3 linked regions of the Elephas maximus indicus genome follow. The protein of the gene in region 1 interacts with the protein of each later gene in a biochemical or structural test. Links are inferred from orthologs where the notes say so. Each region holds a gene or a part of one and is shown in the gene's direction. Other genes may lie near its edges. The genes, in order: ATF2, MAPK13 and MAPK11.

The links.
Region 2: of the proteins of ATF2 (region 1) and MAPK13, one has a biochemical effect on the other in vitro, tested with the Homo sapiens proteins (2 studies listed by BioGRID and IntAct). The link is inferred for Elephas maximus indicus from reciprocal best matches to the Homo sapiens genes ATF2 and MAPK13.
Region 3: of the proteins of ATF2 (region 1) and MAPK11, one has a biochemical effect on the other in vitro, tested with the Homo sapiens proteins (4 studies listed by BioGRID and IntAct). The link is inferred for Elephas maximus indicus from reciprocal best matches to the Homo sapiens genes ATF2 and MAPK11.

Annotation. Positions count from the first base shown.
Region 1 is NC_064824.1:73,233,129-73,241,261, reverse strand, and holds the start of ATF2 (cyclic AMP-dependent transcription factor ATF-2), read left to right. Parts: upstream 1-3,319; 5' UTR 3,320-3,454; intron 3,455-8,133. UniProt on the Homo sapiens protein: Transcriptional activator which regulates the transcription of various genes, including those involved in anti-apoptosis, cell growth, and DNA damage response.
Region 2 is NC_064819.1:99,810,427-99,818,559, forward strand, and holds the start of MAPK13 (mitogen-activated protein kinase 13), read left to right. Parts: upstream 1-3,599; 5' UTR 3,600-3,718; coding exon 3,719-3,837; intron 3,838-4,543; coding exon 4,544-4,673; intron 4,674-6,012; coding exon 6,013-6,071; intron 6,072-8,133. UniProt on the Homo sapiens protein: Serine/threonine kinase which acts as an essential component of the MAP kinase signal transduction pathway.
Region 3 is NC_064822.1:196,617,474-196,625,606, reverse strand, and holds the start of MAPK11 (mitogen-activated protein kinase 11), read left to right. Parts: upstream 1-3,801; 5' UTR 3,802-3,912; coding exon 3,913-4,028; intron 4,029-6,526; coding exon 6,527-6,656; intron 6,657-7,001; coding exon 7,002-7,060; intron 7,061-7,150; coding exon 7,151-7,262; exon of another isoform or gene 7,263-7,270; intron 7,271-7,356; exon of another isoform or gene 7,357-7,384; coding exon 7,385-7,414; exon of another isoform or gene 7,415-7,504; coding exon 7,505-7,552; intron 7,553-7,618; exon of another isoform or gene 7,619-7,639; coding exon 7,640-7,754; exon of another isoform or gene 7,755-8,133. UniProt on the Homo sapiens protein: Serine/threonine kinase which acts as an essential component of the MAP kinase signal transduction pathway.

The DNA of each region.
Region 1 (8,133 bases):
CACTAATCAAACGTTCTTTCCCTCTTTTCCTTCCCTGCCCCCTATTGTGGTAAAAATATATATGACAAAACATTTATCATTTCAACATTTTTTACGTGTAGATTTCAATAATACTGTGTTCATCATGTTGTACAAACATCATCACTGTCTGTTTCCAAAGTTTTCCATAGCTCTTAACAGATCTCAGGGTCCCCCTTTCCTCCTCCCTCCTACCCCAGGTAAACCACCGATGAACTCTGGTCTCTATACATTTGCCCCTTGTAAATATTTCGTGTAAGTGGGATCATACAATATTTCTCCTTTTGTGACTTATTTCACTCAGCATAATGTTTTCAAAGTTCATCCTTGTGGTATCATGCATCTGGACTTTATTTCTCTTTATGGCTGAGTAATATTCCATTGTATGTTTACACCATGTTATGTTTATCCATTCATCTGTTAATGGACGTGTAGGTGCTTTCCACCTTTTGATTATTGGGAAGAGTGGTGTAATGAACATTGGTACACAAGTTCATAGCATTTCTGCTTTCAATTATTTGTGGTATATACCTAGAATTGCTGGGTCATATGGTAATTCTATGTTTAATGTTTTGCGTAATCACCAAACTGTTTTCCACAGCAGCTGCACCATTTTACTTTCCCACCAGCAATGGGAGGCATCAGTGGTTCAGTGGTGGAATGCTCGCCTTTCATGCAGGAGACCTGGTTCAATTCCTGGCCAATGCGCTTCATGCACAGCCACTACCCATCTGTCAGTGGAGGTTTGCGTATTGCTGTGATGCTTAACAGGTTTCAGTGGAGCTTCCAAACTAAGACAGACTAGGAAGAAAGGCCTGGTGATCTACCTGAAAATCAGCCAGTGAAACCCTTATGAATCACAAGTGATCAAGGGGATAATGCAGGACCAGGAGGTGCATGGGGTTGCTATGAGTCAGGGCCAACTTGATGGCAACTTACAACAACAACCAGCAATGGATGAGGGATCTAATTTCTCCACATCCTTGCCAGCATATGTTGTTTTCTGTTTTTGTTTTTTAATCATAGCCATACTAGTGAGGGTGAAGTGGTGTCTCATTTCCCTAAGATACTGAGCACCTTTTCATGTGTTTTTTGGGCATTTGTATATCTCCTTTGGGGAAATGTCTTGTCTTTTTTATATATACAAAACCAAAACCTATTGCCACCGAGTCAATTCCAGATCATAGTGACCCTATAGGACAGAGTAGAACTGCCCCCATAGAGTTTCCAAAGAGCACCTGGTGGATTTGAATGGCTGACCCTTTGGTTAGTAACTATAGCACTTAAACACTATGCCACCAGTGTTTTCTTTTTATATATGTTGTTGTTGTTAGGTGCCATCGAGTCGGTTCTAACTCATAGCGACCCTATTTACAACAGAACAAAACACTACCTGGTCCTGCACCATCCTTACAATAGTTATGCTTGAGCCCATTGTTGCAGCCACTGTGTCGATCCACCTCGTTGAGGGTCTTCCTCTTTTCTGCTGACCCTGTACTTTGCCAAGCATGATGTCCTTCTCCAGAGACTGATCCCTCCTGACAACATGTCCAAAGTATGTAAGATGCAGTCTCACCATCCTTGCTTCTATATATTAAACTGGATATTAAACCCTTATTTATATATGGTTATATATTTATATATGGTTCCCAAAAAATTTCTCCCCAAAATCCTTACAACTGGACCAATTGGCAACATCATGATAAATGGAGAAAATATTGAAGTTGTCAAGAATTTTCATTTTTCTTGGATCCACAATCAACACCCATGGAAGCCGGAGTCAAGAAATCAAACGATATACTGCATTGGGCAACTGTGCTACAAAAGACCTCTTTAAAGTGTTAAAGGGCAAAGATATCACTTTGAGGACTAAGGTGTGCCTGTCCCAAACCATGGTATTTTCATTCAGCTTATACACATGCAATACTGGACAATGAATAAGGAAGACTGAAGAAAAATCGATGCCTTTGAAGTACTGTGTTGGTGAAGAATATTGAATATACCATGGGCTGCCAAAAGAACAAACAAATTTGTCTTGGAAGAAGTACAGTCAGAATGCTCCTTAGATGTGAGCATGGCGAGACTTCGTCTCAAGTACTTTGGACATGTTATCGGGAGGGACCAGTCCCTGGAGAAGGACATCATGCTTGGTAAGTAGAGGGTCAGAAAGAGATGAAGACCCTCAACGAGATAGATTTACACAATGGTTGCAATGATGGGCTCACTGATAGCAACAATTCTTAGGATGGCAGAAGACTGGTCAGTGTTTCCTTGTGTTGTACACAGAGTTGCTGTGAGTTGGAACTGACTTGACAGCGCCTAACAACAACTCTTCACTTTGTTGATAAAGTCCTTTAATGCATAAAAGTGTTTAATTTTGATGCTGGGAAAAAGGAGCCTGAATCAGTTCCACTTACAGCTTAGTAAAATTTCAACAAACACCGCTCAGATTAAAAGCTTTTTCGTCTTATCCTCTTTCCCTCTTTAGGCATGTAGGGGATTTGGGGGTAACTACCCGGGGCAGTTCTACTCTCCTATAGGGTCGCTATGAGTCGGAATCGACTCGACGGCACTGAGTGTGGTTTGGTTTTGACCCAATTCCGTCTCTCCCAAACCTCAGCTTAACCTAAACTCCCCTTACCATAGCTTTACTCACGTCTCCACCATGGGCCAGGAAGTGACAGCAACGAAAACTACCCGGTTCCCAGGGCTGGCAACTCACCGGCTTTCTCTCTCCTCACTCGCAGCCTTTCCTGAACTCACCTCTTCTCCCTGCACACCACTAATCCCCTCCGAGACCTCAACCGCCACCTGCTCCCGCGCCCGCTAGCTGCCAATCACAGCCTCCGGCAGCTCCAGGGTTACTGAGAAATCGTTAAGAACTCGGCTGCTAACCGATAGGTTAGCGGTTCAAACCCACAAATTGCTCCGCGGGAGAAAGGTGTGGCAGTCTCTTTTGGAAACCCTATGGGCCAGTTCTACCCCGTCCTATAGGGTCGCTACGAGTTGAAATGGACTGGAAAGCAACGGGTTACTGGTCTCTGTACTCCCGCCCCCTCCAGAACTGCTTCCCGCCCTTCGGTCTCCTTGTCCAATCACCAGTGCCCGAGTGTTTTTGGTTCCCGCCCCCTCCATCCCCACCCTTCTGAGTCCCGCCTCCTTCGTCAAGGCTGACGGAACCACCTGACCCGGAGTCGCTCCTTCCGAAGGAAGGCAAGAAGGGGCGTGCGCGTGGAGGGGAGGGGCATGAGAAGAATGGGGAGGATGCCGGGAGTGGGGCGGGGAGAAGGGTTGTCAGTCCGATCTCGCGAGAGAGGACGGAAGCCTGTGGGAGCCCGTGGCCTTTAAAGTACGGTTCAGCCCTTTCCTCCAGGGGTGGTTTGTAAACACGGGGCTCCGGGCAGCCGAAGGGCGCATGCATTAGTGACCTGGAAAGGTGAGTAGTGATGGGGAGATTGCTGCAGACTGGAGACTGTGGGGTACCGAGAAAGAAGGCGCTAACATGGCGACGTCGCTCACCACAGTCCCCACCCCCCGCTTCCCAGCACCTGGGGCGCCCCTGCCTCCGTCCCTAGCCCTCGGGGCGACTGTGGCTGTGCTGCCACCTCAGCAGCCTGCCGGCGTCGGCTTCAGGAGGCTGTCTAGCCCGGCCGGACCTTTAGGTAACTGGCGTTCGTTGTTCCGGCCCCTCCCCGCTCGCGCGCTTTCCTAACGAAGAGGAAAAAGAAATAACGGCTCCTCTCAGACCCCTCCCTCCGATTTATCTTCCCCTTCTTCGGTCGGCTCGGAGGCTCCTGGAGCACAGGTCGGACCTGCCGAGGGCGCGGGGAGACCTCCCTCGGCCCTTAGCTTGGGCGGGAAGAGGGTCGGCTGTGGTCTCCCCACCCAAGACCCAGCGGCCGGGACTATTTGTATGTGGGGTGTGGAATGGGGAGTAGATCGGCATGTACGGCTGAAAACAGGGTCTGGGTCCCTGCCTGCGGTGAAACCTGATGGAGCGAATGGTATGGTGAGCCTGGGAATTAGGAGGCCCGGCCTTTTCTGTCCTTTCTGCCACCCTCACACACTCGCCACCCCCCTCTTTTTCCCAGTGGGGCGGGGCTGAGGTGTGGGTGCGGGTTGATTCTGGCGTTTTCCCCCATTTTTTATCTCTCTGGGTGGACACCAGAGCTTCTGTAGGGAAATAATCTGTGCTGTTTATCGATGCCCCAGGGACCAGGACAGAAAGAGAGATTGTGTGTGTGTGTGTGCGCGCGCGCTCCCGTGTGTGTGTGTGTGTGTGTGTGTGTGTGTGTTTGCTTGTTTTCTACGCACGCTGGTGGAACCGAAGCTAAGGAGAGGGCGGAAGAGCTGGGGATTATTTTTGTGGTCTTAGGTAGTATAAAGGAGCTCTGGTGGAGCTCGTCTGCTAACCAGAAGGTTGGGGTTCGAACCCGCCAGCCAGGAGGAAGATGTGGCAGTCTGCTACCGTGAATATTTATTTACAGCCTTGGAAACCGTATGGGGCAGTTCTACTCTGTCCTATAGGGTCGCTATGAGTCCCAGTCGACTCCATGACAGTGGGTTTGGTTTGGTGGGTAGGTAGTAAAAAAAAAAGTCTTTTTTAATAGGGAGTCTTAAAACTGGTGAGGCGAGAGTAAAACTACTGTGAATATGATGGAGTGAAACACATTACTTAGACCTATTCATTTATTCCTAAATTATAATATGCAAGTAGTTTCTTAGTAATCTTAAATTACAGAAACAGTAACAATGCATACTATTAATGTATTTGAAGTCAGAACAGAAACTGTTTCTCTGAGCACACTTTTTGTCCTATATGAAGAAATTCATAACCATTGACATTGTCAGTGGCAGCAGTTCCCCCTCAGAATCTTTAAATAACCGTATAACCTTGGTCTATTGAACCAAAATTATGAAGGTGCGACTTTATTGTAAGAAGTCAACCCTATGTGGGTTAACTGCCCTGAATTACAAATACAGTAGCAGTTATATCTTGTATTTAAATTTGTCACACTGACTTCAGGCATCCTCTGTAAACACTTTTTTCAGAAATTGGAGGAACATCCTTTCAAGTTTTTTTTTAAAAAACTAGATGCCCTTCTGCAGATCAAGAAAGTTCATGGACCTTGAAGACCTTCGATAATAATCAAGAATCCTTAGCTTTGTAATATAATTTGTAAGAATCTTTCAAGTTTACAGTGGTGTGTATATTGCTTATCGGGTCGCTATGAGTCGGAATGGACTCAACGGCAGTGGGTTTGGTTTGGTTCGGGTTTGTGTGTTGCCTAAGGAGGCCTGGCAGTGAAGTGGTTAAGCACAAGGCTTGCTAACTTTAAGTTCTGGGTTCCTGTGCACCAGCTGCACCTTGGGAAAAAGATGCGGCAATCTGCTTCTGGAAAGATTACAGCTTTGGAAACTCTGGGGCAGCTCTGCTCTGTCCTGTAGGGTCACTATGAGTCGGAATTGACTGACTGGACGGCAGTAGGTTTGGTTTTTTGGTTTCGGTGTGTTGCCTCCCTAACAAATCTTTAATCTTGCTTTGAGAGGATGCCACTGCTATTCTTTTAAAATTATTTAGAATATAATGTTGTAATTAAAATGTAGGCATTTTGTATTTTAATTGTCGGTAAGGAAGGCGCTTTCAGGAACTTTTCGTGTATATGTTTTTAAGGTACGCAATGCCTTATACAGATTTTATTGCATTTGCTGGAAATCTCTTTAAATACCATGTTAGAATGTTTATTTGGTATTTGGGCCACTATATTATGTATTAAAAATCATGCAATCCAGAAATTCTTGCATTTACTTTTTTACTTGAAGTATTTGTTTCTTATTTTTAAATTAAGATAACAGTAGAAATAGTTACCATGTCAGCTGTTTAATAGATAATTGGGGGGATTTATTGGTATTTAGAGTTTGGAAGCTGTAGTAGTATAACATAAAAATTATATGCTATACATCGAACTTCTAACTAGCATTAACTCTCAAGAAATCATCCACACTTTTTCTATCTAAATTTTTATATTTTGGAAAAGTTGGGTTGTAATGATTTATATGTCCTCTGCTGGTATAGGGTCACAGAGTCGGAATCGAGATGACAGTGGGTTTTTTCTGCTGGTAAATTAAATTCAAGGATCGTTTTAGATCAGGGGAATAATCCCACCGTGCATACTGTTTTCCATTTTGCCTTTGAGCTCTTCATTCTGATATGAAATCTGCCTTTAAGCTGGCACTTCTTTTTTTGTGTGTGTGTTTTTGTTGAAATGTCCTTAGAGAGGATAAAGTAGTTGAAGTCTTTCTTACTTAAAACAAAATGTCCACCAAAACCTCTCAATTTAAAACAAACTGAGTAACAGTTTCAAGAATTATTGGATATTCAGCTGATCCTCATAAAAATTAATAAATAACAGTACTAGTTACGCTATTTTTTGTAATTCAAATGCACCCCTAAAAGCCTTTGCATTTTATAAAAAAACAGTTTAATTTAGTAGTTTAGTGTTTATTTTATATGTATTCAGTGAGGTTAAGAACTTGTCTAAAATGCATCATATTCTCTTTATATAATTTTTAATGATCAGGTAGTCATTATTAGATAATGTCCATCAATTTATATCTAAGAGAAAACCCCACAAAACATTTTATTTCATTTTTTCTGTTTCTCAAGCACAAGGTTAAAAAGTTGGAGTAAGGTATAATTTCATTAAAAATTTATTTTCATTTTTAAGCATGTTTAGTGATGCTTTTTTTCCCCCTTGGCATTTTTGTCAATAGAAAAATAAATGATGTGGTAAAATTGTAGTAATTAAAAATTCCCCCCCCCAACAAGAAAGGATATAAATAAACTGCTTTGGGGGCTAGGCCTGTTCATTCATGTCTACATTCTGTATCTTAACAAAGACAATTGGCAACCATTTTTCTTCTGCCTTGATGCCCAAGGAATAGAAAGCACTCCCGAAAGTAGTAGTGGCTTATTACCACTGAGATCCTCAATGAAATTGGTAGGAAAAGATGGTGGGAATGATTGTAATTGGCAAAATACCAAATGTATTTTGGTTCTTTTGAAAGTCTGTGGTTGACTTTGTCTATAATATTGGCCTTAAATTTGTAAATATGTTCCCTAAATATTCTTTAATTTACCTAATTGAACCTAAACTCTGTCACTGTAATTTAATGGCTTTGTTCTTCCAGTTTATTTATTGAGCAGCTATTATAGCAGTGTAACTAGAAATCAACTTCAGTTTTGCCATACTAACTGTTTTCATTATTTTTCTTCTATTTTGTATATATACATTATAGTGTTTACAGAATTACAATGTAGCTTTATGTTTTTTTAAAATAGTATCGGCATTTTCCCATGTTATATAACATTTACAATGTCTAACGGTTTTGCAATCACTCACCAAATGATGTATTAAATTTGCTCAATTTTAAATGCCCAACAGGAGAGTAGTTATTATCAGTTTTTGTATATTTTAACATTGAATTGAATATCATTTAGAAATAATATGGCCTACCCCTCCTGACATACTTGTGCTGCAGTTTGAAGGCAATATAGCAACCACCTATTTATTTCGCAGCCTTAGGAAAGTTGGGTTTTCCCTAGGAACTGTAACTTGGGGTGGAACTTATAATTGTAGATTTATCATAAATCCATGTGAAAGAATATCTCATAGTTGTGGTCTGTATATGCCTCTTCCCCTCAGAATTTTTCTATATAAAACTTGAGCAGTACAGCATATTCATATTTTGCGGTGATAAAATTGTGATACTGTAATTTCCATAAAATCTTCTACGATAGATAAGTACATTTTATATATCTACCTTGAACAAAAGTAATGCTGTGAACATTATATATATAACACCACTACCAAATCTAAAATGCTATTAATAAAATGTCCATTGATACGTTAATATTCATAACCATTATCTGTAAATTATTTGTATTTTTCTATTATAATTTTAAATTATAAGACAAGAACTTGCTTACCTTATACCTAGGGATCAGAGGTCTGGTAATAATCAAGACTCACTTAAAAAATAAAGTTTAACTTAAAAATTTGGGTTATTGAATTTTTATTAAAGAATATTTTGAAGTATTGATCTGATTTCATT
Region 2 (8,133 bases), on another chromosome or scaffold:
TGGGTGACAGGTGGAAAAGCATGTTCCAAGGACTCTTTAAATCTACTTGTCATACTTTAGAGGTCCCTGGGTGGCATAAATGGTTTGCCCTTGACTACTAACCTTAAAAAAAAAAAAAAACCTAAAGGTTAGTGGTTCAAATCCACCCAGTGGCACCACAGAAGAAAGGCCTGGTGATCTGCTTACATAAAGATCACAGCCAAGAAAATCCTATGAAGCAGTTCTACTCTACAACACAAGGTGTCGCCATGAGTCAGAATCAACTCAACTGCAAATGGTTTTGTCATACTTTAATATCATCCCCATTTTACAAGGACACTCAAGTTCACAGAGGGGAAGGCATTTCGCCCAGGGTCACAAAGCTGGTAAGTGGCAGAGCCAGATGCAAATTCAGGTCTCATTCCAAGGTTGGTTCCTTAAGCTCCTGCCTCAGTGTGAATAGGGCAGAAACCAACAAGACAACTTTGGGTCGGTGTCTGGGGAGCAAAAGAGCAAAGGGGCCTTGGAGCTCCAAGAGGAGAGAGTGGGTGGACTGTGGGAGGGAGGGCATCCAGGAGGTCCTCAGTGAATCCATCCTCTTCCTCCCCCATTCAAGATTTCCTGGACTGGGTCCTCCAAAGTGCTTCCCTCTGAGGCCATCTGGCTGCTCAGTAAACACAGGCCGAGCTGGGGGAGGGACCCTCCTCAGGCCCAAGGTGGGGGTCAGTGTCTGTGGAGTCTGAGGCCTGAGTCACTTCCTGGCCCTTGCTCAAGAGGTGTCCAGAGCTACAGCCAGAGTAGCAGGTTTGTGTCTCTCAGGATTGCACCCACTTGGCCAACAGTCATGTTCTTGGTATTCCTCACCCTGCTGGGTGGGATCTTCCCTGCCATGCTCAGGTTCTCAAGACACCACCCAGAGGATGCAGCCACACCTTCTTTATCCTCCATCCCAAGGTCTGGCCCAAGTCCCAGCCCCTTCCCTACCCTGGACAACTGGATCCCCAGCTTAGAAGGAAGCTTGAGTCTCCAGACACCTCTCCTTTGCCTGTACCCCAGCTCTATGCTCTGGCTTCCGGGACCTTGCTATGGAAAAAAAAAAAAAATGAATAACAGACATCTTATCTTACCCTTGAGTCCAAAGTTAACAGTAAAAGCCTGACCCCCCAAAACTGTTGAATTATTAAATTGGGTTTTTCCAGCTTCTTAAAGGAGTGTTAATAATAAGGACAGTGATAAAATCTTTGCAAACCCCTTTGTGATAAAGACATTTGCTAACCACAGGTAGGTCAGGGTTTGTCTAATGCAAAAAAGAAAGTAACTTTAGGTAATTCCCTTTCCTTCCTGAGAGATGAGGTAATTTTTATCATTTGAACACCTCTGGACTACACCTAAACATTTGTGCAAATGATGGCCCTCCCCGCCCCTCTACCAAGGCCAGAGATCACCTAGCAACCTGATGTCAGCTGATCTCAGTAGAGGGGACAGGGTTCAATCAATCACGCTAAGATTTGCCAATGGTTGATTTTCTATTCTCCTTCCTCTTCTCTTTATAAATTTCATTGTAACTAGCCTACATTGAGTCATTTGTTTTTTTAGAAATCAGGATGGTCTCCCTATATGCGTATACAATAACTGCTCAAGGTAAATCCTATATTTTAATTTCTTTGGGCGTTGATTTTTTTTTTAACACTGCCCAGCTTCAGGAACAAAGTGCCTTCCTCTGGCACCATCAACCCCAAAGGTCTGACATCCTGCAGGGCCCCCAGGCTCGCAATCCCTTCTCCTCCCAGAGGGTCCCAAGGCTGGAGTAGGGGGATGGGGCTGGGAAGAAGGCAGGGAACCTGTCAGATACCCCAGGGCAGGATGGGCTGGAAGAGATATGGTTTGACCTATAGACCCGTCCTTTGATGCTGGCGAGGCAGATTATTTGAAACACAGGACATTTCCTTAAAAGAGCAATGCCTCTTGTCTCAACCTGCATACCCTGCAAACCCTCGTGGTCAAGAGCAGGGGCTCCCGAACCAGGCTGTACTAGCTTCTTCACCTAGCTCTGGCCCGTACCAGCTGTGTGACCTTGAGCAAGGTATTTAACCTCTCTGTACCTCAGGCTGCTCATCTCTAAATGAGGATAATAACAGTACTGATTCATAGGCCTCTTACCAGGATTAAGTGAGCTGTGTATGTAAAACACTTAGAGCAATGTCTGGCACATGACAAACAAGTGTTTATTAAATATTTTTTCATTTCTAATAGGCTGACTCCTCCTTTCATTCTCCATACATTTATTGGTCCTACTGCGTGCCAAAGATGAATAGGATCAATTTCCTGCCTAAAATGCCTGTTGGGCATTTCTGTCAGATCCCTCGCCCGGAAATGATTTTCCAGGTGGTGCCTGGGCAAGGAAGGCCAAGCCGGTCTTTATGGGACAGGCTGTGGGGCTGGGTTTGGGGCCTGCAGATCGCCTAGTGCAGATCTCCAGCTTGCTAAAGGCCATGGAAAGTTCCTTTCCATCTTCAAGACCCCTCCTCTCCCTTCAACAAAGTGGAGCAAGTGGTCCCCACTCCTTCCTCACCCCCATCTCCAGGCCACCGTGCGTCAGACAAGTTGGGACAGGGGAGGTGTCCCAGGCAAAGGCATCCGGAGACCTCCCCTTTGGTCCTCAGGGGCCTCTGTGATTTAATTTCAGCCCAGAAATCATCTTCAGGCTGCACAAACCACCAGACATAGGTGGCAGAAAGCCTTGGTTTGTAATTGCCCTCCGGAGCCAGCAAAAACTATGCTCGATACCGGAAATTTTGAACCTAGACTGGATACTTGATATTATGGAGCTACAGTTATTAAGTGTAAAATGATATTGAGGTTATGTTTTTAAAAATAATCCTTATCTTTTAGGGATACAAAAAATATTTATGAATGAAATATGATGCCTGGGCTTTGAAAATAATGGGGTTGAGAGAAGGGCTTGTAGATAAAACTGTCCATGAGTTGATGTCATTGTTAAAGCTGAGAGATTGGGGTCATGGAGTTCATCAGAGCTCCATACTCCCAGCGTGGCCCAGAGGCCCTCTGAGCTTGGGAGCTGGTTGGAGATGCAGACTTGCGGCCCCACCCCGGACCTACTGAACCAGAATCTGCATTTTAATAAAATTCTCAGGGGATTCGTGTGCACATTCAAGCGTGAGAAGCACCGGGCTATTCTGTCTACTCTTGTATATTTTGCTATTTTCCATAATAAACAGTTTTGTTTTTATCTGAAATCGTCTCCGAAATTCCCGGCGAGCTATTCCTAGAGTCCCGGCTGTACGGGAGCTAGAAGGCCCCCTCTTCCAAGTCCTCCGCCCCACGTGGAAGCCCCTCTGGTCCTCAAATCCTCGCCCCCGCGCCCTCGACCTGGAAGCTCCCGGTTCCCGCAGGACAGCGAGTCTGTTCAGGTGGCCCGCACCTGCCGCTTCGGGATCTGTCTGTCCTCAGGGCCACGCACTCTCACAGCTGCACGCAAACATGGGCCTCCCCAGCGCAGGGCTGTCGGGGCAGGCCCGGGAGTGGCCGCGCCCTGTGCACCTGGGCGCGCCGGCAGGTGGGACGCGTCGCGGGCCCGGTGTCCCCGCCCTTGCGGGGGGAGGAGCGGGCTGCGCGGGGCGGGCTCGGCGCGGGACCGAGAGCGGGGACCCGGGCTCTGGGAGCCCGGCGCGCCGCGAACGCAGCCGCCAAGCTGAGTCTTCCGCATTGGGTGCCCGGGATGAGCCTCACCCGGAGAAAGGGCTTCTACAAGCAGGACGTCAACAAGACCGCCTGGGAGCTGCCCAAGACCTACGTGTCCCCGACGCACGTAGGCAGCGGGGCCTATGGAGCCGTGTGGTGAGACCCTCGGGCCTGCGCGGCCGCTGGGGGCTTAGGGGGCCTGAGACCGTCGGGGCGGACGGTGGGCGGGCGCCTAGGCACTGGGACGCGAGGGGAGCCTCCCCACAAGCGTGGGCCTGGACCGCTTCACCGTCTGCACTCTCGGGCTGGCCCTAGGTGTCCCCTTCTGCTGGCTGCTCTGGGATGGATACCCACAACCTTAACCTAGGACCCCCAAGGCCCAGCATCCTGAGGGTTTGAAGGCCCTCCCAGGGGCTTTTCCTGGAGCTGGGAGGGAGAGGGAGGCTGGACTGCAGAGTGGAGGATGAGGGAGAAGCCCCAGGCTGTGTCAGAGGCGACATAGCGCCATCTCATTTTTCTCATTGGGCGGCTGTGTGGGTCTCTCTGGGTTGAATTAGAGCTAGCTACACTGAGGCCCAAAGAGGAGGACGTGACTCCCAGTTGCATGGAGAGTGAGGTTCCCGCCCTGCACCTGACCTTGTCCACCTTAACACATGTCTGGCTGTAGTGCAGTACACCTCATTGTGCTTCCTGCTGCTCCCCCACATTCCAGGTGGTTGGCATCATGTCCTCCCCAGCCTAGCCCACGATGGGGATGAAGGAGTGGGAGAGGGAGGACCTCCTGGGATCCCCGGAGTCACCTGGGAGGTACTACCTGGATCTGAGGTGGGTGCTTCCAGCTGACCTGCCTGTGTCCCTACAGCTCTGCCATCGACAAGCGGTCAGGGGAGAAGGTAGCCATCAAGAAGCTGAGTCGGCCCTTCCAGTCTGAGATGTTTGCCAAGCGGGCCTATCGGGAGCTGTTGCTGCTGAAACACATGCAACATGAGAACGTAGGCTGGGCCCGGGGGGTGCTTACGGGCAGGCCCCTGGGTGGGTGCTGGAGACGGCCTGAGAGAGTACGGAGAGCTCAGGACGGGGCCCAGAGACCGGAAATCTCCCTGCTACACCGCCCCTTCCCAGTAGCTTTCTTTTCCTCACCTCATTATAAAAATGGGGACGTCAGAACCTGCCCTGCTCAATTCCCAGAAAGAGTGCGAAGAGTAGTTGTGGCAATGGAGCAGAATGGGCTTTGTAAGGTACAAACTACAGTCTCACTGTTATGAGGAAATGGGCACAGAGGAACTTTGTGATTTGTCCTAGGCCTGAGAGCAGGTGGCCAGCTGGGACTAGACTCTTAGCTACGGTTGTCTCCATGGATGACCCAGATAATAATAATAAAAACCAAACCCGTTGCTGTCAAGTCGATTTCGACTCATAGCAACCTGTAGGACAGAGTAGAACTTCCCCATAGGGTTTCCAAGGAGCAGCTGGTGGATTTGAACTGCTGACCTTTTGGTTAGCAGCTGGGCTCTTAACCACTTTGCCACCAGGACTCCAATAATAATAATAGTGGATACTTACTGAACACTTACTATGTGTCAGGCACTGTTCTAAGAGCTTTGCATAAACTGACTTGTTTAATCTTCATAATGCCACATGAGACAAGTAATATTGCTCCCATTTTACAGATCGGAAAACTGGGGCACAGAAAAGCTCACAGGTTATATGGCTAGTTAGTGGATTTGGTCCTCAGCATCCTGACTCCAGGCCTGAGTGCATAACCATTACCCTGTCCCATCTGATAGAAATGTCTAGGAAAACCAGTGACCCAGTGCTGGGCCTCACAACCAAGTTTTGCTCCAGGACACCTAGATTGGAGGGCAAACAATCAAAATCATGATTTCAAAATATTGTGCACATTTTTTAGCCCTCTCCCTCTTCAGCAAACCCATCCCCTTTGGCCTCCAGCCAGGGGTGATCTTGCCCCTAGTTCCAAACCAGCCCTGTGGCAGGCAGGGATACATGTAGCAAGGCTCTTTCCCCAGCCCTTCCTTTACACCCTTTGTCACCCTTGGGTCCCTGCTTGAGTTGAGACTGGATTTGTGCTGCTTGCCCTGAAGACCAGATTTGGGAGCAATGAGCATAGGAACGTCCCCCTCCCCTTCTCCCCAGCCTGACTCTTCATCACTGTTTATTGCAAGTTCTCTCCCAAGAAGCCTGGGGGCTTACCTCCTGCTGGAGGTGGTGTATTAGGAAAGGGTGGTTGGTCCTGTGTATGGCTGGAGCCCTACAAGAGGGATGAGGAGAGGCCATCTGCTGTTCAGCTCTCACTGATGACCCTTTCCCCAGGTCATTGGGCTCCTGGATGTCTTCACCCCAGCCTCCTCCCTGCGCAACTTCCATGACTTGTGAGTCAACTGCACTGGGCTCTGGGGCGTTTGTAGGTCCCTCTTGCCACTCAGGAGCCAGTTGGGGGAGGATCCATATTCTCTCTTGGGGTGGGAGTGGGAGGGTGCTCTTGCCCTGTGCATCTGGGCTATCAAGGTGTGATTCTCTCTGAAGAGATTCTTTCAGCCAAGGGAGGAGAGGAAGGCAGGCAGGAAGAGGTAGGAGGGGCTTTGTAGGGTGCTTACTGGGCCTGGAGCTGTCTGAAAAGCTGCGTTGCTAGTTACCCAGCCTTAACACCACACACACACACACACACACACACGCACACACGCACGCACACAGACGCACACACATACACATACCTGTCAGACCTCACAGGGTTTGTAGCAACTCACCTGGCCATTCACCAGAGGCCCAGGTGCAAGTCTGAACCTAGGGGCTCCTTCTAGCATAAAGCGAGGATTGGGAAGCCTTGGCCACCTCTGGCCAATGAGGTATTTGACAGAATTACCCAGAGCCAGAAAATATAGTTACTAACTTTATAGCTTCACTAATGCAGTGCCTGATCTAAGATTTCGAAGCCTTTAGGAAGGTGGATTTTTTTTTTTTTTTAATTCTATTTCAATGCAACTGAAGGCCTCTTTGTTAGCATGCTTTTGTTTTAAATTTCATGCAATATTTTTGAATTGAGTTGTTTCCTATAATGCCAATTGCTGGGCTTAGCATTGGGAATTCAAAGCGGACCAGGACCAAGCACCAGCCCCTGCTCAAGGCACCATGTGTTGGGTGGGATGGAGGGTACAGCGGGCAGTTTTTAAATGAAGAATGACAGTAGTGTGGTCAGTGCTCTAGGTATGAGCAGAATTCTGGGGACTATGTGCTGCTTCAGGGGACATTACAGAGGAAGTGACATTTGAACTCAGTCCTGAAGGATGAATTGAAGTTTGCCTGAGGTAGAAGGGGCTGGAGGTAGAAGGAACTGTGTGGGCAAAGGCTGAGATGAAGGAAAGAGAAAGGAATGTCTGGGCAATTTTGAGAAATACAGCGTGGTGAGCGGACACCGGTGGCTGGTTCAGTCAAGCTGAGTCCACACTTGATCCTACAGGCAGCCTCAAGTCCATGGAGATTTTGAACAGGGAGGTGATATAGTTCATTCAGATTTGGGGATGCTATCTGGCAGCAGGAGGCATTGTGGTTTGGTGGTAGAATTCTCATCCTCCGTGCAGGAGACCCAGGTTCAATTCCCAGCCAATGCACCACATGCCCAGCTACCACCCACATGTTGGTGGAGGCTTGCCTGTTGCTATGGTGCTGAACAGGTTTCAGCAGAACTTCCAGACTAAGATGGACTAGGAAGAAAGGCCTACTATCTCCTTCTGAAAATCAGCCAGTGAAAACCTGATAGGCCTCAATGGTCTGATCTACAACTGATCATGGGGATGGTATACAACTGGATAGTGTTTCATTCCGTTGTGCATGGGTTCACCATGAGTCAGGGGCTGACTGGATGACAGCTAACAACAACAGCTCTGTCAGCAGTGAGAAAGGAGCAGGCAGCAGCTCGGAGACCTTAGTCTAAAGTAGAGGTGATGGGATGCCAAGAGCAGACTTGAGAACCATGTGGGGCAGAATGTTGTATCTGCTGGGATGCAGTGGCTGATTGAGATGGCCGGGGGCAGGGGGCGGGGGGATACCCAGGTTCCTGTTTGGAATACAAGGAGAAAGAACTGGTCTTGGGGGAAAGATACGAACTTTATTTTAGAAGTTCACTTTTGAAGAGCCTGTGAACATTCAAGCATTTAACCAGCAGTTGCAAACAAATCTAGAACTCAGGAGAGGAAGGTCTGGGCTAGGGACAGGAAGAGGTAAGTGCAGAACATGGTAAGATGAGAGAATCGGCAGAGATCTTTGAGAGAGTGTCAGACTTTGCACAAGGTCAAATATGAAAAATGGGAACTATGGGTGTATCTTGATCCGACCTGTTGGTGACCTAGATCTGAACTGTTTTGGCGGTAGGGCAGGAACAGAAGCTAGATTATAGGGGGAAGGTCCATGGGTATCACAAATGGTTTCTCTTAACTA
Region 3 (8,133 bases), on another chromosome or scaffold:
GGACAACCCCCCTTCTCAGAGACCAGGCCAGTCAGAGCATCCAAAAGAGGTGTCACTCATGTGCCTGGTGAATTCAGACCATGGGGCAGCAGAGACATGGACAAAGGCAACGGGGACACAGTCTGGGGGTGCTGAGCTGGGGATGTGGGGGAGGGGGCTGGGAACCAGGAGGTCTGGCCTCCAGACTCGGCCCCTGCAGCCACCTCCACCTCCACCCCGTTCAGCATCCAAGCAAGAGGAAAAGGGAGAAGGAAGGGCTCAGTGAGAAACTCCCTCACCTGCCCCCTCCCCCCATGAAGCTTGGGGTAAGACCTTCAGGTCCAACAGTCTTAAGTTTAGGTGAGGTTTTCACCCCTCACCTCCCTTTCAGGACAGTGAGGACTGTGAAGGGACCTGGGGGCTGTCCTTTCTTAGGGCCAACAGAGGAGCAAAATTTGGTGGTGTATGATGGGGTACACAGGGGTGGACAGGACAGCATGGTCAGGATGCCAACAGAAGAGGCCTGCCCGCCCTTCCTGCCACTTCTGGTCTACCTGAGAGGAGAGAGAGGTGGGGAGGTGGCGCAAGTGGGCAACTGCTTCGGAGCCATGGGTGAATCTTCCCCTAAGCAGCCCCTCCTCTTTCTTTGCTGAGTGACCTCCCGCCCCTCCCCACCATGGGGTATGTGCTTGTGCAGGAAGTAGGCTCTGACGGCAGAGAAGCAACGTCTGACCAGACAGGAGTGGTCTAGGAGACCAGTGGGAGCCTGGATGGGTGGGAGGGCAGTGGAGACAGAGAGAAAGGGTGGGGTTTTGATATTTAGGGGGGACACTGTAGGGGTGGAGGGAGACTGGGGTGGTCTGGGAGGAGGAGGCCAGGGTTCTGGCCTGGGTGGGAGCCTCTTGGGCTGAAGGCACCCCTTGGAGGTGTCCATCCTCAGGCCTGCCTCTCACCCGGCCCCCACCACGTCTGGTCCTCCCCCACCTATAGCACTCCCCCAAGCCCCACCCCCCCACCGCCATCCCTCCCACCCCCCCGCCTACCCCGCCCCTGGCCCTCATTTTTGTTTCCCTTAGTGGAGTTCGGGCCTGCTCGGGTTCCCCGCGGTGCCTCTCTCCCTGCATGGCTTCCTGGGGGCGGGGGCCTTCCCTGATTCCCCCAGGCCCCGACTGTCCCCTCTTCCTGGTGGGCGGTCTCTAAGCACTCACCACCTTCCCAAACCCGCCAGTAGTCGCTCCAGACCATTCAATCGCCCCCACCCCAGGGGCCTCTCCAGCCTGCTGGCATCCGGGGGCGCCCAGTGTACGTCTGCTGAGGCCTACGAGAGGGTCCCCACTCTGCCAGGCCGCTGAGTCCTGATCTGCCCTAACCCCTCACCGCCGGGATTCTGGGGGCGCTGCGGGGGCGGGGCAGGCGGGGTCTCCTCGGGCCGCGGGAGGGATTGGGGGATAGGAGGCGGTGCCCAGCCCCCATAAGGGGCGAAGGGCGGTGCCCGGCCACAGTGCGGGGTAGGGGCGGGGCCGGTCGCCATGGGAACGCACACACTGGCGGCTCCCCTCCCCCGCGGGTGGCCTCTAGGCCGCAGTTCCCACACCCCAGAGGCCTCGGCTCCCGCCCCTTTTTCCTCCTTTAGCTGAAGCTCCATTAACTTTGCACAAAACCTCTGCCTGCATCCGCCGTTGGTGAAAGGACCCCTCATGGCGGGGGCCTTTTCAGGGAGGCCCCGCGGGCTCGGGGTCGGAGAGTGGCGTCCTCACCCCCCCCAACTGCAGCGCGCCCGCGCCAGGCCCTGGAACAGATACCCACTCTCGGAAGAGAAACTGAGGCCCAGCATGGCTCAGGACTTGCCCAGGGTCACGGACAGTGGCCGCGCGGTGCAACTCGGACCCCGCAGCCTTTGTCCGCATCTCGCCCGCCCCACGTCTGGATTCGCCGGGCACTTGTGTTCGTTTTCCTCTGTACCGCGTTAACATTTTTTAATTTGGTTGCCAATATTTGAAATTCATAAGATTTCACACAAAAACTCGGATTTGAGCTTCTTTTGAAAAAGTAGAAGTCTGGGCAATTGGGGCCTGAATTCCACTTCCCTGGGAACAGGATCCCCCAGCACCCTCACTGGCCCCCAGGGTGGAGGTCAGGAGCCACACGGAGCAAAGAGCTTCTCCGAACTCACGTTATTTTTAAAGCGGGAAACAGAAGTAGACTGAGGCCCAGAGCGCCAGAAAAACGCTGGCTAGAACGTTTGGTGGACCGGCGAACACACTCACCTGCCCCGGGTTAAAGCAGGCTGTAAGAACTAAACCCTGAAGGCCACGCGAAGGGACCGACCGGCCCTTACTCCCGTCACCTACTCTGCGGCTGCGAGGGCTGAATTCGAAGCCCCTGCAGCCCAGAGGCGGATTGCTCACTCCCGGGAAAAGCCAGGGAGCTTCCTGAAAGGTGGGAAGGAGGTAGAAGACACCAAGGAGGATGATGTATTTAGGTACCCTCCTCGTAGGCACAGCACCCCAAACGCCCCGCCCCCTCGAAGCCGCTGTCCCTGGTCCTGACAGAGCTGGTCCCTGGGCCCCGGCGGTCACGCCTCTCCCGGGCCAACCCGATGAGCAGGAACCCCTGCTGAGGGCCGACAGCAAGCCATGGAAGGTTCACCAGGAGAGGAGCCACAACCACCAAGGCCAGAGCTTCCCCCACGGGAAGGGAAACCAGGCACTGCCATATGCCACCGAGGCAGTGGCCCTGTCTAAGGGCCTTTTTGGTTGATTTTTTAAACAAGACACCTAGTTTTTAAGTAGTATCTCCTTTCTTCTCGATAAGGAGCCCTGGTGGAGCAGTGGTTAAGAGTTTCAGCTGCTAACCGGAAGGATAGCGGTTCCAACCCACCAATCTGCAGGAGAAAGATGTGGCAGTCTGCTTCCTCAGAAACCCTATGGGGCAATTCTACTCTGTCCTACAGGGTCGCTGTGAGCCATGATCGACTCCACGCCACACAACAACAAACTTTCTTGATGAAAAATCTTTCCCAATGCTCACCCCTGGCTTCCTCGATTTTGACAGTTCTCCCTGGTTTCTGAGGGTAACACTGGGGAGACTCGGTGCCCACGCCTCACCTTCCCCGTAAGTGTGGCAAGGGGCAGGGCAGGTGGCAGGAGGTGAGGACAGATCAAGGGGAGAAGAGATAATGTGGGATCCGGGGCTGGAGGCAGGCGAGGTTTCGGGCAGATCCGCATCGGGGCCCCAAGGCTCCGCTGACCAGGGAGTGCGGAATCCGAGCGGGATAGGGGGTGCGGAGACCCAAGCAGGCTGAGGGAGATGCGGGCCACAGCAAGTTGGGGGAGGTGCAGGCCACAAAAGGCTGGGTGATGCGGGGACCCAAACAAGCTGAGGGGTACAGGAACCCAAGGGGGCTGGGAGGCATGGGAACAGGCTGGCCACAGCAGGCTGTGGGAGGTGCGGGCCACAAACGTCTGGGGGATGCGGGGACCCAAACAGGCTGCGGGGTTGCGAAGATCCGCGCGGGCGGGGGGTGCGAGGAGAGGCGGTAGCATCGGCCTGGACAAGGCGGTGCCCAGGCCGGAGACAGGACGCGGGCGACGTTTGGGGGAAGCGCGAGGCCCCAGGAGGTAGGAGGGGACCGAGAGAGGAAGCCGCCCCCCGCCCTCCCCACCGCGGCCGCGCGGGCCCGCCCCCGGCACCGCCCCGGGCTGCGAGGCCGCCCAGAAGGGGGAGGGCAGGCGGGTTTCCGCCCGACCGCCGCCTCAGAGGGGCAGGAAGCCGCGCGCTGGCCCGAGAATCCCCCCCGCCCCCGGCCACCCAGCCCGGGAAACCCCCCGCCGGTCCCGCCCCACCCACCGCCTCCTCCTGCCGCCCTCCGGCTCCTCCCGGGCTCCGGCGCGCGGCGCGGGGCCAAACTGGGCCGAGGAGGCAGCTCCGGACATGTCGGACCCCCGCGCCGGCTTCTACCGGCAGGAGCTGAACAAGACGGTGTGGGAGGTGCCGCAGCGGCTGCAGGGGCTACGCCCGGTGGGCTCCGGCGCCTACGGCTCGGTCTGGTAGGGGCGGGGCGGGGGTGGGCGGGGTGGGGGCGGGACGGGGCCGAGTGCGCCCCCTCCCCCCCTGCGGGGCCCCGGCGTGGGGAGGGGCCTCGCCTGCCCCCGCCCCCGGCCCGGCGCCGAGCGGAGGAAGGAATGGGGGGCGCGAAGGAAACTTTCCTCCCAGAGGCCGCTCCCGACCTGGGCGGGGGTGTCCTCTGGCTCAGCACGACCCGGAGCGCCGCCACCCCGGCCCGGATCCTGCGAGAGGGTGGGTTTCCCGAGCCCCTGAAGGCCTGAGCACGAATCTGACGTTCCCTGAGTCAAGGGTCTGGCAGCCCCCAGGGTCTGCAGACGGCCCCCCTGCTCCCCGGTGGGTGTTTTTGTTTGAAAAGGGGCAGCCCAGGTGGGAAAAGATGAAGACCTCCGCCCTTAGGCCGGTCTCAGGCTTCACCCGCGGGCCCTGCCCCTCCTCCTTTTCCGGGGGGATCAGGCTCCGGAGTAGGGGCTTAGGCCAGAGCAGAGGGGATCTGCAGCCACGTATTTCTGCCCCAACCAAGGGAGCTCAGGTGATAGCCCTGCAGCTGGACCCTGAGGCGTCCAGCCTGGGGCCCTGTCAGATGGTCGAGTCTGCGTGGGGCGTCCGGGACGCCTGCAGGCCTCCTTCCCCTGGTACTGGGGTTTGGAGAGGACTTAGGATGAGGTGGTTACAGGGAGCCCTGAGGCGATGTTTAAATGTTGACAGGCTGAGGCTGATGCTTGGGTGTGGACGTTGAGAGATGCGCCCCAGCACCCAGTAGGGTCTTTACCAGCGCTGCTGCCAGGTGGCTGCCGTCCACTGGAGGGGGAGGCAGGGGCCACGAGGGTGTGGCGGGTTGTTGCTCCAGGCTCTTGCAGACCGTTAGGAGGGGCAATTCCTCGTAGCTTCTTGGAGTCAAGAGCAGAGGCTTGGGGTCCGCAGGCTGATCTCACTGGTCCTTGCAGGCTGTCAGGAGCTTCGGGCAAGCCATTTCAGCTGGTTCAGCCATTCCAGCCTGAGGCCTCGGTCTTCAAGGGCAGGGGGAGGGTCTGGGACAATACATGAGTGCATCCGGGGGACCTGCAGAGCCACACTGGACTCACCTCTGCCCAGGGAATTGTCAGTCTGGGAGTTGGGGAGGAAGTGGATTTCTCCTGCTGCATCTCGGGCAGTGTTTGCATGGCCCCGGTGCAGGGGGATAGCCCTGTCCTGGGCTCTGCTGGTGCAGGCAGCAGCTGGGGATGGGGTGCGGACTCCTGTCAACTCCACTGCGCAGACGCAATCAGACAAAAGGGTTTGCTGCCAGAGATGAGGGGCCACTTGCCTCATCACCCCCCCCACAGGTGCTGGGACCATTGTAGGGTGGGTCATAAGCTTGAGGGGGCATGGATACCCCAGGCACCTGACCAGCATCCCTGTACCACCCCCCCCACCACCACTCTGATCCCCCATGAGCATGGAAGCCCTATCAGGACAGCCTGAGGCTCCATTCACTCTTCCTGAGGATAGGGGGAGGGAGCCCAGCAGACAGGAAGTGAAGCTGGAGGGAGGGAAAGGAACAGGCTGTGCAAACCCCTCCATGCCTGGGCTCCAAGCTGCGTTCAGTAGTCGGGTCCTGGTAGTGAGGACAGTGGGGACCATGGATGGGTGGGCGATGACCCTGTCCCATTTGTGTTTGAGGACTGTAGCAGGGACTGCTGTGTCTCAGGTGGCCTTAGGCAGGTGAGGGGCTGGTGCCAGACAGTCTGGACCTGTGGGGAGTGGGGTTGGGCAAGCTGACATGTTCCGTGTGTCCAGGCACCACTCTCGGCTGAACATTTCACATCGTCCACTTTTACACTGTTAAAAATAATGATGCAATAAACACCTTTGACCAGTTTTCCCTCCATATCTTGAATATATTTCCAGGACCAGGGCCCAGAGGAGGTGTTGAGAGTCCAGGGGATTTGGGGGGGAGGTCTGGGGAGCCTCCCAGAGCCCATGGGGCCATGAGGGACGGAGAGGAACGTTTCCTGACATGTCATTTGCACGCTGGCTGGCGGGGGCTCTTCCTGGGCCTAGCACTGCGTTGGGGGAAGAGTCCGTGGGCTGGGAAGCAGGAGGCGAAAGAACCGAGTCCTGTGGTGGGGCCCCGGGTAGCTCGTTCTGCTGGTGGTGGTGGGAGCTGACCCTCCTCTTGAGGAGGGAGTAGGTGTGGACGGGACGCAGAGGAGGAGGGCTTGTCCAGCCACACGCCAGCCAGCCCAGCTCTCGCCCCGACCCTGCCGTCGGCAGCCGGCAGAGGCCCCGCCCGAGGGGCTCACGTCTGAGCCAGGCCCCGGGATGGGATGCGGGGAGCGGGGCCCGGCGCAGCGGAGGGGCCAGGGAGAGGCGCTCAGGCGGCCGGCGGCTCGGCGCCCGGCCCGGCCCTCTCCTCCCGGCTCCCCGCGTGCCGGCCTGGGGCGGGGGGCCAGGGCTGAGCCCAGACCCGTCGGCGTGGCCTCACTCGCCCGCCTTCCAGCTCGGCCTACGACGCGCGGCTGCGCCAGAAGGTGGCGGTGAAGAAGCTGTCACGCCCCTTCCAGTCGCTGATCCACGCGCGGAGGACGTACCGCGAGCTGCGGCTGCTCAAGCACCTGAAGCACGAGAATGTGAGCTGGGGGAGGGCCAAGAGGGCGGGCGGACCAATGGGGCCGGGGCGGCCTGGGGGCAGGCCAATGGGGGCCTGGAGCGCTGTGGGGGCGGAGCGCCCTGGGACGGACCAATGGGGCGGGGAGCGCCAGGGGGCGGAGCCACCGGGGCGCGGCGGGCCTGGCGCAAGGGGGGGTGAGTGCGTCCCTCTGAGGCCTCGGGGGCGGGGCCACGATAGCCTGGGGGCGGGGCCAACGAAGGGACCGCCCTAGGGTGGGGCTACGATGGTCTGGGCGTGGCCAAAGGGGCGGGGCCTGGGCCGGTCGGGGGTTGCCCAGGGGCTGAGCCGCACCCCCCAACCCCAGGTAATCGGGCTTCTGGACGTCTTCACTCCGGCCACGTCCATTGACGACTTCAGCGAAGTGTGAGAGCGAGGCGGGTGCGGCGGGGCCTGGGGAGCGCATTCGGGGAGGCCGGCGGCGGCGCTCTCTCCTGACCCCTGACCCCTACCCAGGTACCTGGTGACCACCCTGATGGGCGCAGACCTGAACAACATCGTCAAATGCCAGGCGCTGAGCGACGAGCACGTCCAGTTCCTGGTTTACCAGCTGCTGCGCGGGCTGAAGGTTCACTGCTGGGGAGGAGGCTCCGAAGTCCCTCCTCGGTGGGGGGCATGGCGGGGTGGGGGAGTCGGGAGAGGGGGCGGAAGGCGAGGCTCACCGTCCTGTGCTCTTCCCCTCCCCCGCAGTACATCCACTCGGCCGGCATCATCCACCGGGTAGGTGCGGGTGGGCAGGGTGTCCTCGGTCCTGGATGTGGGTCCTCTTGAACCATGCTGTCCACCTGGCTCATGGCTTCCTCGCTGCAGGACCTGAAGCCCAGTAATGTGGCAGTGAATGAGGACTGTGAACTCAGGGTGAGGGGCCACGAACCAGAGGGGCAAGTTGGGAGGGGAGGGCGGAGGCAGCTAGTGGGTGCTGACAAGGTTTTGCTGTTGTCCCAGATCCTGGACTTTGGGCTGGCACGCCAGGCCGATGAGGAGATGACCGGCTATGTGGCCACGCGCTGGTACCGGGCACCTGAGATCATGCTCAACTGGATGCACTATAACCAGACAGGTGCCTGTCAGGGCCAGGTGGGAAGGCAGAGCTCACGGCAGGGCTGAGAGGTGAAGGGAGAGCAGGGGAGAGACGGGCTATGGACCCGCATCAGACACAGGCCTTCAGAGGGGCTAGACAGGTGCCTGTCAGGGCCAGGTGGGGAGGCAGAGCTCACGGCAGGGCTGAGGGGCGAAGGGAGAGCAAGGGGAGAGAGGGGCTATGGACCAGCATCAGACACAGGCCTTCAGAAGGGCCAGACAGGTGCCTGTCAGGGCCAGGTGGGGAGGCAGAGCTCACGGCAGGGCTGAGGGGCGAAGGGAGAGCAAGGGGAGAGAGGGGCTATGGACCAGCATCAGACACAGGCCTTCAGAGGGGCCAGACAGGTGCCTGTCAGGGC